Macaca mulatta: one gene and its partner. The protein of the gene in region 1 purifies or fractionates together with the protein of each later gene. This does not show direct contact. Links are inferred from orthologs where the notes say so. Each region holds a gene or a part of one and is shown in the gene's direction. Other genes may lie near its edges. The genes, in order: RIGI and SQSTM1.

Region 1 (7,761 bases):
AACTGAGACTTGAATAGCTTCAGTGCCAGTAGATCACACAGCTATTTCATGGCAGAGTTGGTAGAGCCCATCTGTTTAACCATTACATCTACCAGCCTAATCAGAAAAGTTTGAAGCAGAAATGAGGACAAATAAATTTTACTGGGAGATATTAAGATAAAAGAAATGCCATGCTCTTGAATGACTGAATATTTTAAACATGTGCATTCATCCCAAATTCGCTTATTCATGTATCACAAACCATATTGAAAGCATAAATATACTTTTAATTTGATAAAATGGTTCTAGAGTTTATATAAAATAATAAATAGATGAAAATAGCTATATTTCTAGAAAAATTAAAATGGGGGTAGCTAGTTGTTTTGTATTGATAAGGCAATCCCTAATGAATGGAGATTGCCTTATCAATACAAAACTACAAGCCACCCCATTACAACATTTTCATGGCTCTTAGCATAAGACTAGCCTAACAGAGGGAGGCAACGCTGATGGGCATTTACCCTGTGCTGGGCAGGCCTGAGCAGTCATAAGCTCATGTTATCTCCTGACAGTCCATGAAGCAGATGCTATCGTCCCATTTTGTATGTAAAGAAACGAGGCGCTTGCCCAAAATGACGTAGCTGCTAAGTGACAGGGACGCTATTTGCATCTAGGCTGTCTGGATCCACCTGGGACACTTGAAAGCATAGTCTGATATAGAGAGGCGCCACCATAAACCAGTGGGACGGACAGAATCTTCCATAGAAGACATGGAGGAAATCTGTGTTCTTTCTTCCTTCATGATGTTTCAGGGTTCCTTTTATCATTTCCTCTGTTTAGAAAACTTCCTTTAGCCAATATTTTAGGGTAAATCTGCTGATGACAGATTCTCAGTGTTCCTTCATCTGAGAATGTCTTCATTTCTTCCTTATTTTTGAAGGTGGCATCTTGCTGAGTCTAGGGTTCTGGGATGGACTGTTCTTTTCTTTCAGCATTTAAAAAATATTGTGCCACTTCCAGGTAGCCTCCATTGTTTCTAATGACAAATCTCCTGTTATTCAGACTGATTTCCCCCTATGGGTAAGATGTCTTTTTCTTTTTTTTTTTCCTCTGACTGCTTTCAAGATTTTTTTCTTCAGTTTTCATAAGTTTAATTATAACGTGTCTCAGAGTGTTTTTTGAAGGTGTTTATCCTGTTTGGAGCTTGTTCAGCTTCTTGAATCTTGGTTGATGTAGCTTGTTAAATTTGGGATATATTTGGCTGTTATTTCTTTGAATACTTTTTAAGCCCTGCTCTTCTCTCCTTGCAGAACTCCAGTGCCATGACATCGTTTTTTATAGTCCTACAGGTCCTTGAGACTTTGCTTCCCCCCCCCCCCCCAGTGTATTTTGTTGTTGTTTAGATTGGGTAATTTCTGTTGTTCTTTCAGATCACTGACTCTTTTCTTTGTCCCTTCCATTCTGCCACGGAAAGCCCATCCATTGACCTTTTTATTTTGGTTGTATCTTTCAGTTCTAAACTTTGTCTTCCATTTCATTGTTGAACCTTTATGTTTTCTCTTTATGTTTCAAAAGTATTTATAACTGTCCATCGAAGCATCTTTATTAGGGGCTTTAAAATCTTTCTCATCTCAGTGTTGGCATCTATGATTTTTTTTTTCATTCAGTTTGAGATCTATTTATTGGTATGAAGAGTTTTATACTATCATGTCCATGGTTCTAAGTTGGACCATGTTCTTAGCCAAGGACTAGATTTTGAATTAGAATAAAATCATACTACACATATGCAACAATATTCCCTGTGGCTGAAGGGGAGAGAGAAAAAAGGTTTTAGATGTTGAGGGCTGTATTAGTCTGTTTTTATACCACTGACAAAGACATACCTGAGATTGGGAAAACAAAGAGGTTTAATTGGACTTACAGTTCCACATGGCTGGGGAGGCCTCAGAATCATGGTGGGAGGCAGAAGGCACTTCTTACATGGCAGCAGCAGGAGAAAAATGAGGAAGAAGCAAAAGTGGAAACCCCTGATAAACTCATCAGATCTCGGGAGACTTATTCACTATCATAAGAATAGCACAGGAAAGACTGGCCCCCATGATTCAATTACCTCTCCCTGGGTCCGTCCCATAACACACGGGAATTCTGGAAGATGAAAACAATTCAAGTTGAGATTTGGGTAAGGATACAGCCAAACCGTATCAGGGGCTCTTCTGCCTGCTGTATCACTCATTGGGTTTGTGCCTGCAAATGGATATAATTATGCCTGAAACAGTGCATATTGTATATCTGGTACAGGTTTTGCTTTTTTTCAAGTTTTGCAAAACACTAAAGTAGAAAGCATGGTTCATATGACTATTCTATGGACATCTTTAGTGCTTTTATGAGCATTTTTGATGAAGAAATTGAAAGACTAGTTGGAGGCCACAATTAAACATTGACTAATATTAAGTTAGGAGAACCAATAAAATCTGTGATTTTACCAAGTCAGGTACCATATGTTCATGGAAGTTGTATATGAATGATTGTATATGTGCATGTATATGTATATATCTATCTGTGCCTGTTTCTCTCTATATGTGTTAAATTATATTTGAGGTCTTTATTTTTGCATTAGATTCTGCATATACAGACTCATGAAAAATTAATCAGAGATAGTCAAGAAAAACCAAAACCTGTACCTGATAAGGAAAATAAAAAACTGCTCTGCGGAAAGTGCAAAGCCTTGGTATGTTACACAGCTGACATAAGAGTGATAGAGGTAAGCTGCCTTTTTACAAAGTGCCTGGTCATGTTTTAGCACTAGCTAAAGCTTACTGTCGGTGAAATATTTATAGTAAAACTCTATTATTTCCATTGCTATTATGGCCATGATCTGTGTATTTGAAAAAAAGCTAAGAAGTGAAAAAGAAATACTAAATGTTCAATAATAAATAGTTTTTGGCCAGGCATAGTGGCTCACACCTGTAATCCAAACACTTTGGGAGGCCGAGTTGGGTAAATCACAAGGTCAGGAGTTCGAGACCAGCCCGGCCAACATGATGAAACCCTGTCTCTACTAAAAATACAAAAATTAGCTGGGCGTAGGGGCAGGCGGCTGTAATCTTAGCTACTCGGGAGGCTGAGGCAGGAGAATTGCTTGAACCCAGGAGGCAGAGGTTGCAGTGAGCCAAAATCACGCCATTCCACTCCAGCCCAGGTGACAGAGAGACTCTGTCACAAAAAAAAAATTTAAAAAAAAAAAAAAAGCTGGGCATGGTAGCAAGAGCCTGTAGTTCCAGCTACTCAGAAGGCTAGGTGGGCTGATTGTTTGAACTTGAGAGATCAAGGCTGCAGTAAGCCATGATTGCACCACTGCACTCTAGTCTGGATGACAGAGTAAGACCCTGGCTCAAAAAAAGAAAAAAATAGTTTTAAAACATTGCTGTACAGCCACTTAATATTACACAGCCATTTAAAAAAAAGCCATTAAAGTGGTCAGGCCGAGCATGGTGGCTCATGCCTGTAATCCCAGTACTTTGAGGCAGGTGGATCACCTGAGGTCAGGAGTTCGAGACCAGCCTGGCCAACATGGCAAAACCCTCTCTCTACTAAAAATACAAAAATAAGCTGGGCATGGTGGTGGGCACCTGTAATCCCAGCTACTCAGGAGGCTGAGGCAGGAGAATCACTTGAACCCGGGAGGCGGAGGTTGCAGTGAGCTGATGTCGCACCACTGCACTCTAGCCTGGGTGACAGAGCAAGACTCTGTCTCAAAAAAAAAAAAAAAAAAAAGGCATGCTACATGCAATGAAGTGTCCTGGATTAGCTCCTAGAACAGATAAAGGATATGACTAGAGAAAGAGTGGTAAAATCTGTAGTTTAGATAATAGTAATGTACTGATGTTAATATCTTGGTTTTGACAAATGTACTGTGGTATATGAAATGTTAGCATTTGGGGAAACTGGGCAAAGGGTATGCAGAAATTTTCTGGGATATCTTTGCAATTTTTCTGTAAATCTAAAATTGTTCCAAAGTAAAGTTTATTTTAAAGATTATGAAGTTTATGTAGTATAATGAAAAACTGCTTACAAACTAATGTGGAAAAAAGTAACCAGAACACAAAATTATAAAGATGCTACTTTATAGCTGTGTGAAACAGCAGCAAATACCATTGTCACTGTCAAGAAAAAGTCAAAAAACTTACCTTTCTACAGAAAAACAAAGGCTAGGGGAACTATACCAAAATGTATTAATATTTTGGTGGTGAGATTCCATGATCTTTTTCTCTTTCCCTAGTACTTTATGTTTTCCAAACATTCCTTTTGGGCTATGGATCACTTCTATAATGAAGAAAATATATCCTTATTTGTAAAATGTGACATCTGAAGGTTGGCTTTCTATTGCAGCCTTATATTTTGTTCTTAAAACTTTCAGAAAAAGGGTTAGAAAAATCTCCAAAGAGAAATGTGGGGTATAACTGTCTTGCATGTGGGGTTACGGTGGAGGGGCTGGGCTGGCTCAGATGAGGAGTTATTACTTCAGGGTGTTCCATTCATCTTCAGAAAGCAGAAATCTCTCATCAGCTCAGCTGTTTGGGCAAAAAGCATATTAGGAGTCATATTGCTAAGTTCCCTTACCTTTCTAAGTCTGCTTCTTTAGCGTAAAAGGTCCTTTTAGCTCCAATTTGGGTGATTATTCTACTAAAAATGGCCCTTTTAGACCCTATGTTTTCCTGAGGGACTAGTATGTTGGATCTGCATTTGTTTGAGCCGTTTACTCTAAAGTTGACTCTAGGTGGGGCCTGTGAACACGTTAGTCCCTGACCTTCTTCAATTGCACCTTGACCTTGGTCATTTTCCCTGTATCCTTTGGATTGTGCCTGCTAGGGCCACTGGTGAACTTCAGCTTCACAGATTTTCAACAAACATCGCTTGTGTTTTTGAATAATAAGTATCTACCTTCAGAAGCTGGGTTACCTGGGTCTTTCTTAATCTTCCTCTCTATGAGGTGCCCAGTGTCCTCACTTGCAACACTACCCTGCCTGTAGAAGGGAGTCAGGTGCATGGATCGTCCTCTGGACTTCAGGTGAATCCATATTTGTTTTCCTCCAATAAAATAAGTGAGACCCACCTATTCTTCATCTCAGATTATTGTGGAGTTCTCTTTTTTTTTTTTTTAATCACAATTATGTACTGGTTCTAATGTTCTCTTTTGTGTGTTATTCCATCCCTTTATCTGTAGGAATGCCATTACACTGTGCTTGGAGATGCTTTTAAGGAATGCTTTGTGAGGAGACCACATCCCAAGCCAAAGAAGTTTTCAAATTTTGATAAAAGAGAAAAGATATTCTGTGCCCGACAGAACTGCAGCCATGACTGGGGAATCCATATGAAGTACAAGACATTTGAGATTCCAGTTATAAAAATTGAAAGTTTTGTGGTGGAGGATATTGCAACTGGAGTTCAGACACTGTACTCGAAGTGGAAGGACTTTCATTTTGAGAAGATACCATTTGATCCAGCAGAAATGGCCAAATGATATCAGGGCCTCAATCTTCAGCTACAGGGAATGAGTAACTTTGAGTGGAGAAGAAACAAACATAGTGGGTATAATCATGGATCGCTTGTACGCCTGTGAAAATATTTTTTTAAAAATATCTTTAACAGTTTGTATTATATTATATATGCAAAGCACACGAGTGAATCACAGCACTGAATATTTTGTAGGCCAACAGAGCTCTTAGTACTTGGGAAAAATTTAAAAGCCTCATTTCTAGCTTTCTTTTTAGAGTAACTGCCAACAAACACACAGTAATCACTCTGTACACACCGGGATAGATGAATGAATGGAATGTTGGGAATTTTTATCTCCTTTTTTCTCCTTAACCTACTGTACATTGGCTTTTGCCATTAACAATCTACTGAAATTGTTCTTTTGAAGGTTACCAGTGACTCTGGTTGCCAAATCCACTGGGCACTTCTTGACCTTCTATTTGACTTCTGCACATTTGGCCCTGTTGAGCACTCTTCTTGAAACTGTCCCTGGGCTCTTCTCTCTTCTAGTTCTAGTCTAGTCTTTTTTATTGAGTCCTCCTCTTTGCTGATCCCTTAAGGGTTGGTAATTCCAAGGGTTCAATATATATACATGTATATACTGTAAATATGTATATATAACTATTATACATACATACAGGTATGTATATGTAATGGTTATATGTACTCATGTTCCCTGTGTAGCAACATGTGGTACGGCTACACAGAGAACATGAGTACATAAAGCCATTTTTATGCTCACTACTAAAAGCTGTCCACTCTAGAGTTGCTGTATGTAGCAATGTGTGTCCACTCTACAGTGGACAGCTTTTAGTAGTGAGCATAAAAATGATAAAATATTTCTTGAAAACTTAGTTTACTATATATCTTGCCCTATTAATATGTTCTCTTAATATGTGCCATTGTTCTCTTTGACGATTTTCCTTTAATGGTTGATGTTCAACACCTGGACTGAATGTCTGTTCTCAGATCCCTTGGATGTTACAGGTGAGGCAGTCTGACTGTCCTTTCTACTTGAAAGATTAGAATATGTATCCAAATGGCATTCATGTGTCACTTAGCAAGGTTTGCTCATGCTTCAAAGAGCTTAGTTTGCGGTTTTTCTAGACATGGAAGCAAGTGCCTGAGTTCCCTGGAGATCAACGGGATGAGGTGTTCCAGCCGCCTCCCTCTCCATGCAATCTAGTGAGCAATGGTGCAGGCAGGGAGCCAGAGAAACTTGCCAGTTATATAACTTCTCTTTGGCTTTTCTTCATCTATAAAACAAGGATAATACTGAACTGTAAGGGTTAGTGGAGAGTTTTTAATTAAAAGAATGTGTGAAATGTACATGACACAGTAGTTGCTTGATAATAATTACTAGTAGCAGTATTCTTACTAAGATCCAATACAATTTGATTATTTAAACCAAGTTTATGAGTTGATTTTTTTTTCATTTTCCATTTGTATTTTATTAAGAATGTCTTTTCTTATGTGACTGTTTTTTTAATTGCTATTTGATATGGTTTGGCTCTGTGTCCCCACCCAAATCTCATCTTGAATTATAATCCCCATGCGTCAAGGGAGGGACCTGATGGGAGGTGATTAGATCACGGGGGCAGTTGTCCCCATGCTGTTCTTGGGATAGTGAGTTCTCATAAGAGCTGATGGTTTTATAAGTGTTTGACAATTCCTCCTTTACACACACACTTTCTCTCTCATCTGCTGCCATGTAAGACGTGCCTACTTCCCCTTCTGCCATGATTGTAAGTTTCCTGAGGCCTCCTCAGCCATGTGTAACTGTGAGTCTATTAAACCTCTTTTCTTTATAAATTACCCAGTCTCAGGCAGTTCTTTATAGCAGTGTGAAAATGGACTAATACACTACTGTTTAAGAACTCCAATAGGATGTGTAAAACATCTACCAGAAATAGATTTAATAAGAGAAAAAAAAATTTTTTTTGAGATGGAGTCTCACTCTGTTGCCCAGGTTGGAGTATAGTGGTGTGATCTCGGCTCACTGCAATCTCTGCCTTCTGGGTTCAAGTGATTCTCCTGCCTCAGCCTCCCAAGTAGCTGGGTACGGGCACCTGCCACCACACCCGGCTAATTTTTATTATTTTTAGTGGAGTCAGGGTTTCACCATGTTGGCCAGGCTGATCTTGAACTCCTGACCTCAAGTGATCCACTTGCCTCGGCCTCCCACAGTGTTGGGATTACAGGCATAAGCCACCATAACTGGCCAAGAAAAGTTCTTTTAAGTGTGTA
Region 2 (8,661 bases), on another chromosome or scaffold:
TCTGTGGGGAGACCAAGCACCCTCCCTTAGTGCTGCCACTGCCCCAAAAGGCCTGGAAGGGCTTGGAGAAGGGGCATGGCTTCAGATGCCCCCCACGTGGAGGTAGCGAGCCTGCTGTGCTGAGAGCAGAGCAAGGGCACCCCCAGAGACAGCCCTTTCCCTTTGGGACTGGCATGGCCAAGGGTGGGGCGAGGGGTGTGCCTAGGGGTAGAGGGCGCCAGGAAGCCCCTTCTTTTCAACTTTCTATCTCGGAACATTTGCGAACGAAACTAGCAACTGAACTTCCCACAGCTTTCTCCTCCCGAATGGCTCCTGCTGTCAGTTCTATACCGCAGGGGCTCCTCTGAATGTCCCCCAACCCCGCGTCCTGGCTCACTTGCCTCAGCGATCAGCACCACGATGACCGAGTCCTCCTTCTCCTGCGGGCTCAGCTCGGAGATGAGCGAGTGCAGAGTGTCAGTCAGGTACGAGTGCACCTCGCGCCGCACACTCGGGATGCCCATCACCACCGACACTATGGGGGACGGAGGCGCGACGCTGGGAAGGGCGCGGGGGGAACCCGCCACCCCTACCCCATGCTCCTCCCTGCCCACGCCCCTACCTCCCGTGCGGCCCTGGCCCACGCGCACCGCGGGCTGCAGACTGCTCTCCTTGGCCAGCAGGTGTGGCAGGTGGTGGAAGACGGTGGGCAGGTGCAGCACGTGCCGGTGTGAGCCGTTCCACGGCTTCAATCGGGGGTCCTCTGGATGGGTCGTGAAGGATCGGGACTGAGACCAGGGAGCCTACAACCAGCCCACCCCCGCCTTTTCCCCCTCCCGCCCCAGACCTCACCTGTTAGGCGGCCCCAGGTGCGATTGCCGTCTCCGTCTCGCAGCGCCTGCCTTTCCGACACGGCCCTCTTGATCTCGTCCAGCACCAAGTTGAGCTCCTTGGAGCGCTTGAGGCTCTCCTGCTCAGCTGCGTGCAACCGATCGCGCAGCGCCAGGAACTCCCGCTGGTAAACGTCCACAACGTCGCCTGCAGGTGGTACGCAAGCCGTTACGAGGGGGCAGTCTAGAGCCGCCCTAGGGCCCCTTTAGTGCCAGCGCACACATCTGGGTGCCCATCTGTGCAACAGCTCATTTACATCTGTTCTCGTGCCTGCCACACGTGAGACAGCTGGGGTCACTCTGAAATTACACTGACACGAATGCTTGTGGGGAGAAAACCAGGGGAATTTGCCCTCTTCCCGGGGTTATTTTATTCTCTGAGGAGGCGTCTGAAGTGGGAATTTCCAGACCTAGGTAGGTGGATCCTAAGCAAGGGCTGGAACAGCCTCAGACCGAAGCCGCTCTGTCCGTTGGCCTCCAAAGCCCACTCTTGCTTTTTGCAGCACATGCTCCTTCCAGGGCACGGGATACCCAAGGTCCTGGTGCTAGTTCTTCACTGTCCTCGTGGCAGTCGCTAGTTGCCCACCTTGCCCTGGATTGTTAGCCTCACAATGGCCCCGGGGGTGGCTGCTGCAGTTCCAGGAGCCCACCTCACTTCATTGCTCAAGGACAGTCAACAGCAGCGAGGGGACTAGCTCTGAATGCTCTGGTGCCTGTGTCTCTGGAGACCTGTGCTGTGCCTGGGGCACCCTGAAGGGTCCGCATGCCCCCCCAGGGGACCCATGTCAGAAGCTCCAGCTGGGCCCAGGCATGAGGGCTGTAGGCAGATGGGGCAGCACACAGGTAGGGCTGCCCGACAGTAGAGAGGCACCACCAGTCTGGCAGGGACCAGTGAGCAAGACTGAGATCAACAACCTCCCGGTGGCTGGGTGCCCACAGTCCCTGCGGAAGTACGCTCAAGGCCTCTGCCAGGCGAGCCTCTGAAAACCTATGTGGCCTGCAAGGCCTTATGTTTCCAAGTCTCCAAGTTTAAGACGCCTGACAGAACTCCCTCTACCCACAGATAGCTCTTCCATTCCTTGATCCTTGGTGGGTTCACAGACCCCAGAGTTCCGTGGGATGGCCTCACCCCGCCAGCGGCCCTGTGCATGATCAAGGTCATGATCAGGCAAAGTCCAGTCACCTCAGGACACACCCCTTTCCAAAGCAGAGGCAGGAGGTCGAAGTGCCAAGCGACCAGGGAATAGGAAGGGGTGGACCTGGGCAGGAGGGAAAGGTGTAAGGAGCAGGGAGCGAAGTGGATCTTCCCTGAGGCATCTCTTACCCAAGAAGCTAGCCCCCGCCCTCCCACACCCTGCCTCTCTGGGGCTAAGGCTGAGGCCAAGTGGAGCCTCTGGACAGGCCCTGGCGGGAGGGAAGGGGGAGTCAGATTACCGGATCTGCCAGGCTCCACGCTGGGCTCAGGGGCTAGGTTACCCTGGAAACCTGACCCTTTGAATGCAGAGCTGGCTACCCCCAACACTCACCCATTGCTGGGCGACACTGAGGTGTAGGCAGCGGTTGCCCACAGGGATGGGACTGGAGGTGCAGAGGCCTACAGAGCCATCAGGAGTGGGTTCAGAGCCACCTGCACCTGCAGGTGTGCCTCCCTCCTGCCTAGATGCCAGTCCCCGCTTGCCTACTTACAGCCACTGCCCATCCCCGAGCCCCACCCTGGCTTTCTCTGTCCCACATGACTGCCTCAGATGGACAGGCTGGGTGGGCAGTGGTGGGTGACGCTGCCTGAATCACCCTGGAAACAGCCTGCTCCTTACCCTGGCTTCCTTCCTAGGGGCCTCCCCTCTCCCCCAGGTCCTGTTTACCAGGAGGTAAAGGGACCCACGGGCTCCCACCTACACCAACCCTTCTGTCATTTCCCTTCACACTGCAGGCCCTGGCCCTGGGCAGCCTCCCCCGCCTGCCAGCTCCCCCACCCGCCTGGCCCTCAACTGTGCGTCGAACTCTGTGACTGCCTCCCCATGGGCCAGGCCCCATGCCAGGGCTCTGCCAAGCCATGCTGACATCCTCTAACCTTCAGGAGCTGGGGAGGCAGCTCAGGTGGAGAGGGGCCAGCCTGGGAGCCCCTGCCATACCTTCCTGCCTCAGGGCCACATTGTTAAGAACAGCAGCAATGAGGCCTGGAGGCTGTGTAACCCTCCCTGGAGGCGAGTCATTAGGACACCCTGAGGCCCGCAAACCACAGTTCCCCCTGCTTCCCTCTTGGTTGGGAAAAGATTAAAGAGCCAAGCTGGGGCACAACCTTTGTGCCCTGTATTCAGGGAAAAGGAACAGGATCAGAGGGGCATGGGCAGGTATCAGGCCGTTAACAGTCTGCTGTCACCATGCATGTGTGCGGCAGATGTCTGTCTCCTCTCCAGACCCTGCACCCTCCCAGGAGTCAAGGAGGGTGTCTGTCATTGCTGAGGTCCAGGCCTGGGGAGGAGGACAGCCTGGAGGCTGGGAGAGCTGTGTGGCTGAGACCCTGGGCCACCCGCAAGGGTCTGCCTCCCTGGGCAGATCCTCAGCAGGTGCTTGGCTGAAGGCCACAGTTTGAGTGCTGGCAGAGCTGCTCCACAGGCCAGATATGAAACTGGGCCCCAAACCCTTCTCCAGGGTCCATTTTGCATTAGTCTAAAGAGGCCGTCCTGGGCTTGACCTTGGGCTTCCAGGATGACGCCCGCACCTGCTGTCCTTCCTCTCTGGTTCCCTGCCCATCTCCTTCCTTCTCTGCAGATTCCACTTCCTGGGTTCTTCCCTCAAGTTCCTGGACCCCCGCTGGCTGCAAAGTGGAGGCCAGGTTCCAATTTGGCCTCAGACTGGCTAAGCCTGGTTTCGCCAGGGGCTTAAGACAGACTTTCTACATGTGACAATGAGATGGGTTCACATAATAGCCTGGATTCCTAGCTTCACTGAGTCACCACAGAAACAGTGACAGCCCCTCAACAAGGCAGGCCTAGGTCACCCCCTACTCATGCCTCACAGGATCCTTAGGCTTCCCTCCCCTAGGGGCTGGGTCCTTGAATCTAAGCGCTCCCCTTCTTAGCTCTCCTGTTCCCCAGGCCCTCAAAGAGCCAGCCTCCCGGATGCCCCCACGGAGCCAGCGCCTCTCCCTCACTCTGCTGTCCCGGAGACTGGCTCCCTGTGGTAAGCCAGGCTTGCAGAGGTGGCTCCTGACATCAATCTGGCGGCATGTGGCTGCTGTGGGAGACACACACTGGCTGAGGACAAAGGGCAAGGGCTCATGGCTCTACCCACGACTGGAAGAGTGTGCCCCAGCCCTTCAGATAAGGCCCCACCTAGGCCTTCATGCCAGTCTGCTAGTCACCCTGCCAAGGACCCAGAATGTCCTTCCCCAGGTGACACACCCTACCTACAGATAATTCTGCCCCAGTCATGCCTGCCCTTGATAATATACGCCACCACCGGGGCCTCTGCCCCAGCCCTCCCTCCCCTGTCCTGCAGTCTCCCCGCAGAGTCCCTGGGTGATGGGGCTCTGGCCCTGGAGCCCCAAGGCCAGCCCAGGCCTCTGCTCTGACAGAACAAGTGCGGCAGGCGGGCGCGCTGGCAGAGCTCGGTGAGGGTAGCTGAGGCTCGGAAGGTCCGGAAGGGTCCAGGTCCTCCCAGCCTCCTCAGCCTCTCTGGGGTGGCGCTCCGGGACAGGGAAACAGGGAAGCAGGTGGCAGGGAGGCCAAGGGGGCAGGTAGCCTCAGCCCGCTTAGGCCTCCAGCAGGCAGGCAGGCAGGAGGCCACTCTCCCAGAACCTCCAGGCTAGGGGAAGAGCGCCTCGGAGGGCTCAGGCCCTACTCGGCCCCACCATCGCCAAGACCGGTCAGGGGGGCGGGGGGCGGGGGGTCGGTCTGCACCCTCCGCCTGCAAGAGCGCTGGGCGGACGCGGAGGGCGGGGGCCAGCCCGGGAAGCTCGGGGTGCGGGGGAGGGGCTGGGGCCGCACAGGAGCGCAGGGCAGCAGTGGCCGGGCTGGCTCAGGACGCCTCTCCCTCCCTCCCCCGCTCCCATAGGCCGGATGCTGCCGAGGCGTTCCGGGCGCCCGGGGGTCGGCGAGGGAGACCCAGGACCGGGTGTCACGCCGGGGTCGCCCAGGCCGGCGCGGGGCTGCGGGAGGCAGGGTCGGGGGAGGGCGGGTGGGGGGATGCCTGACCGCCTAGCGGTGCCCTCGCGCCTGTGTCCCTCACGCCGGCCCAGGTCCTGCCCAAGTGGCTGTGGCTGGCGTTCCGGGACCTCTGTGACCTTGGGTCTGTGCCGAGACCCCCACGGGTCCCCAGCTCAGCTGCGCCCGCGGAGTCCGGTCCGGGGCACCCACGGGCGCGGCCAGCGCTGGGCGGGCAGGCGCAGCCCGGGCCCGAGGAGGACGCCGCGGCTCCAGCAGCAAACAAGTGGGGGAGGGTGGGAGGGGCGTCCTCCGCGCCGCCCGGGCGGGGAAGGGGCGCCTGCGTCGGCTTCCGGCCGCCTCCCGCGGCCACCGCCGGGCCCGCTCCCGCCGCCGACGCCCAGGTGCGCCAGGTGCGGGCCGGGCCGGTCGGGCGGGGGTCGCGCTTACCTTTCTGGCCGCTGAGTGCCGCGTACCAGGACAGCGAGAGGAAGGCGCACAGGCAGAAGAGCAGCAGCGTCAGGAAGGTGCCATTGCGGAGCCTCATCTCCTCCGATGCGCGGCGGGCGCCCGCGGGGCCGAGGCTGCATGGCCCGGGGAACCGGGGCCGGGGCGCAGGGGTCGGAAGGCGGCGGCTGCAGGGGCCCCGGCCCCGGGGCGGGGAGGGGCGGGGGGGCCGGGGCCGGGCAGGGACCGGGCCGGGGAGCGCGCCTGCCGCTTCTCAGGGCGCAAGCTTTGTGCCCTGTACTCAGGGAAAAGGAACAGGCTCAGAGGAGCAGAGGCAGATATCAGGCTCACTGCAGGTATCAGGGGCGCGGGACACTGGCGGCCTCGCCTCCGCGGCAGGGCCGGGCCAGGCCGGGCTGGGCTGGGCTGGGCGGCGAGAGCCGCGGCCCGGCCTGGATCTGGGGCCTGGATCTGGGGCCGCCGCGGAGTCGACGGCGCAGGGCGGGGCGGCCCGGATTTAAAGGGGCCGCAGCACCGCCGCCGCCAGCGCCGCGAGGGGCGGGGTGGGGGCCGGCGCCCGTGATCCCGACCGGCTCCCGCAGCCCCGCTTGGGCTCGTGCGAGTCGGCCTTAGGTAAGGCCGGAGTGGGAGTGCGGGTCGACCGCAGCCGGCGCGGGCGGCGGGGGCGGCGCTCTCGGGCCCAGGTACTCTTCTCGGCAACATCTCCTCCGCGCGCGGACCCCGACCCCACTCGCACGTTCTCTGGGCTGTTTCCCGAGCGTGAGGGGCTCTGGGTGGCGCGGGGGACTGGGCGCTTGGAGGGGACTGGGCGCTTGGAGCCGGGAGCCACCGTTGCCTTCGGCGCCGCCCAGGGCGCTTTCCCGCTCAGGAGCTTCCTCTGGGGCGCGGGACTGAGACGCACAGGGGCCCGGGAGGCGGGAACAATGGGCCGTTCTAGGGGGAATCAGGGCCAATGCTCGTGGGTGCAGAGGAATGACCAGCCCAGAACCGGACCGGCTTCCCGGGACAGTGGCGGCCCAAGCGCGCCGCTTACGGGAGCAACGGGCCCTGCTCCCGGTGGTGCAGCGGCCACCTCGCCCCGCGCAGCCCAGCCGGCTCTTGATAGGGGCCCACGCCTTCGGATTTTTGTGGGTTTTTTTTTTTGAGACAGAGTCTCGCTCTGTCGCCCAGGCTGGAGTGCAATGGCGCGATCTCGGCTCACTGCGATCTCAGCCTCCGGAGTAGCCGGGATTACAGGCGCCCGGCTAATTTTTTTTCTTTCTTTTTTTTTTTTTTTAAGACTTTGGGCAGCGCCTGGCCCGCTCCCAGCTTGGACCTCCCAGTCCTAGGGGCCCGGTTCCGGGTGGAGGCTGCAGGGACCTCTGCCCCGCCCGCTCGGGGGAGGCCTGAGGGGCTGGACTCAGACTGGGAGTGAATGCAGCTTTGTCTTCCTAGTCCAGCCCCGGCCCACACCTGGGGCTGGGTGGAATCGGGAGCTTCTACGGGTCTGGACAATTCTCCCACAGAGAGATTGATGCCAAGAAGTGGGTGGCCGAGCCAGAGGCCGAGGTGGGCTGGATCCTGAGGCCCAGTGTTAAAGGACAGGGCTCCCCATTCAGTGCTCCTGGAACATTCCGAACTAGAGACTGGGACTTGTAGGCGCCTTCTAGAGGAAACTCGTGTTTTCACAGGTGTCTTCTATGTGTGGCAAAGGATAATGGCTTTTCACTTAGGCTGTGGCATAAAGGGCCTTAGAAATTGTTAATGAGTTACTTAACGTTAAAACTTAGTCACCCAGGCCCGGTGTGGTGGCTCATGCCTGTAATCCCAGCACTTTGAGAAGCTAAGGCGGGAGGATCATTTGAGCTCACCAGTTCGAGACCAACCTGGGCAACATAGTGACACCTCATCTCTATAAAATTAAAATTTTTTAAACAATTGTTTTTGGATTTTTTTTGGTAATTTTTAAAATATTTATTTATTTATTTATTTTTGAGACAGAGTCTTGCCTTGTCGCCCAGGCTGGAGTGCAGTGGCCTGATCTAGACTGACTGCAAGCTCCACCTCCCGGGTTCATGCCATTCTCCTGCCTCAGGCTCCCGAGTAGCTGGGACTACAGGCCAATGGCACCACACCCGGCTAATGTTTTGTATTTTTTAGTAGAGACGGGGTTTCACCATGTTAGCCAGGATGGTCTCGATCTCCTGACCTCGTGATCCACCTGCTTCAGCCTCCCAAAGTGGTGGGATTACAGGTGTGAGCCACCACGCCCGGCCTTTTTTGTTTTGTTTTTAAAGATGGAGTCTCGCTCTGTTGCCCAGGCTGGAGTGCAGTGGCATAATCTCGACTCACTGCAACTTCTGCCTCCCAGGTTCAAGGAATTCTCCTGCCTCATCCTCCTAAGTAGCTGGGATTACAGGCGCGCCCCACCACACCCAGCTAATTTTTTTGTAGTTTTAGTAGAGGTGGGGTTTCACCATGTTGGTCAGTCTGGTCTCAAACTCTTGACCTCGTGATCCACCCACATTGGCCTCCCAAAGTACTGGGATTACAGGCATGAGCCACCGTGCCTGGCCTTTTTTTTTTTTTTTTTGAAACGGAATCTTGCTCCGTGGCCCAGGCTGGAGTGCAGTCAGGCAATCTTGGCTCACTGCAACCTCCGCCTCCTGAGTTCAAGCGATTCTCCTGCCTCACCTGCCTGAGTAGCTGGGATTACAGGCATATGCCACCATGCCCAGCTAATTTTTGTATTTTTAGCAGAGACAGGCTTTCACCATGTTGGTCAGACTGGTCTCGAACTCCTGACCTCAGGTGATCCGCCTGCCTCAGCCTCCCAAAGTGCTGGGATTACAGGTGTGAGCCACCAGGGGCGCCCAACCTAATTTTTGTATTTTTAGTAGAGATGGGGTTTCACCATGTTGGCCAGGTTGGTCTCCAACTCCTGACCTCAGGTGATCCGCCTGCCTCGGCCTCCCAGAGTGCTGGGATTACAGGCGTGAGCGTGCCGGGCCAACAATTTTTTTTTTATTTTAATTTTAATTTATTTTTATTTTTTATTATACTTTAAGTTCTAGGGTACATGTGCACAACATGCAGGTTTGTTATGTATGTATACATGTGCCATGTTGGTGTGCTGTACCCATTAACTCATCATTTACATTAGGTGTATCTCCTAATGCTATCCCTCCCCCCTCCCCCCA

What was found.
Region 2: the proteins of RIGI (region 1) and SQSTM1 purify together in Homo sapiens (affinity purification with western blotting; 5 studies listed by BioGRID). This does not show direct contact. The link is inferred for Macaca mulatta from reciprocal best matches to the Homo sapiens genes RIGI and SQSTM1.

The regions. Positions count from the first base shown.
Region 1 is NC_133420.1:66,916,984-66,924,744, forward strand, and holds the end of RIGI (antiviral innate immune response receptor RIG-I), read left to right. Parts: exon of another isoform or gene 1-96; intron 97-1,069; exon of another isoform or gene 1,070-2,596; coding exon 2,597-2,740; exon of another isoform or gene 2,741-2,957; intron 2,958-5,203; coding exon 5,204-5,500; downstream 5,501-7,761.
Region 2 is NC_133411.1:188,800,867-188,809,527, forward strand, and holds the start of SQSTM1 (sequestosome-1), read left to right. Parts: upstream 1-4,385; 5' UTR 4,386-4,482; intron 4,483-5,065; coding exon of another isoform or gene 5,066-5,561; exon of another isoform or gene 5,562-5,838; intron 5,839-5,927; exon of another isoform or gene 5,928-6,165; intron 6,166-8,661. Other genes in the region: MGAT4B (alpha-1,3-mannosyl-glycoprotein 4-beta-N-acetylglucosaminyltransferase B), read right to left, coding at 1-1, 381-514, 602-742, 832-1,017, 5,066-5,561. UniProt on the Homo sapiens protein: Molecular adapter required for selective macroautophagy (aggrephagy) by acting as a bridge between polyubiquitinated proteins and autophagosomes.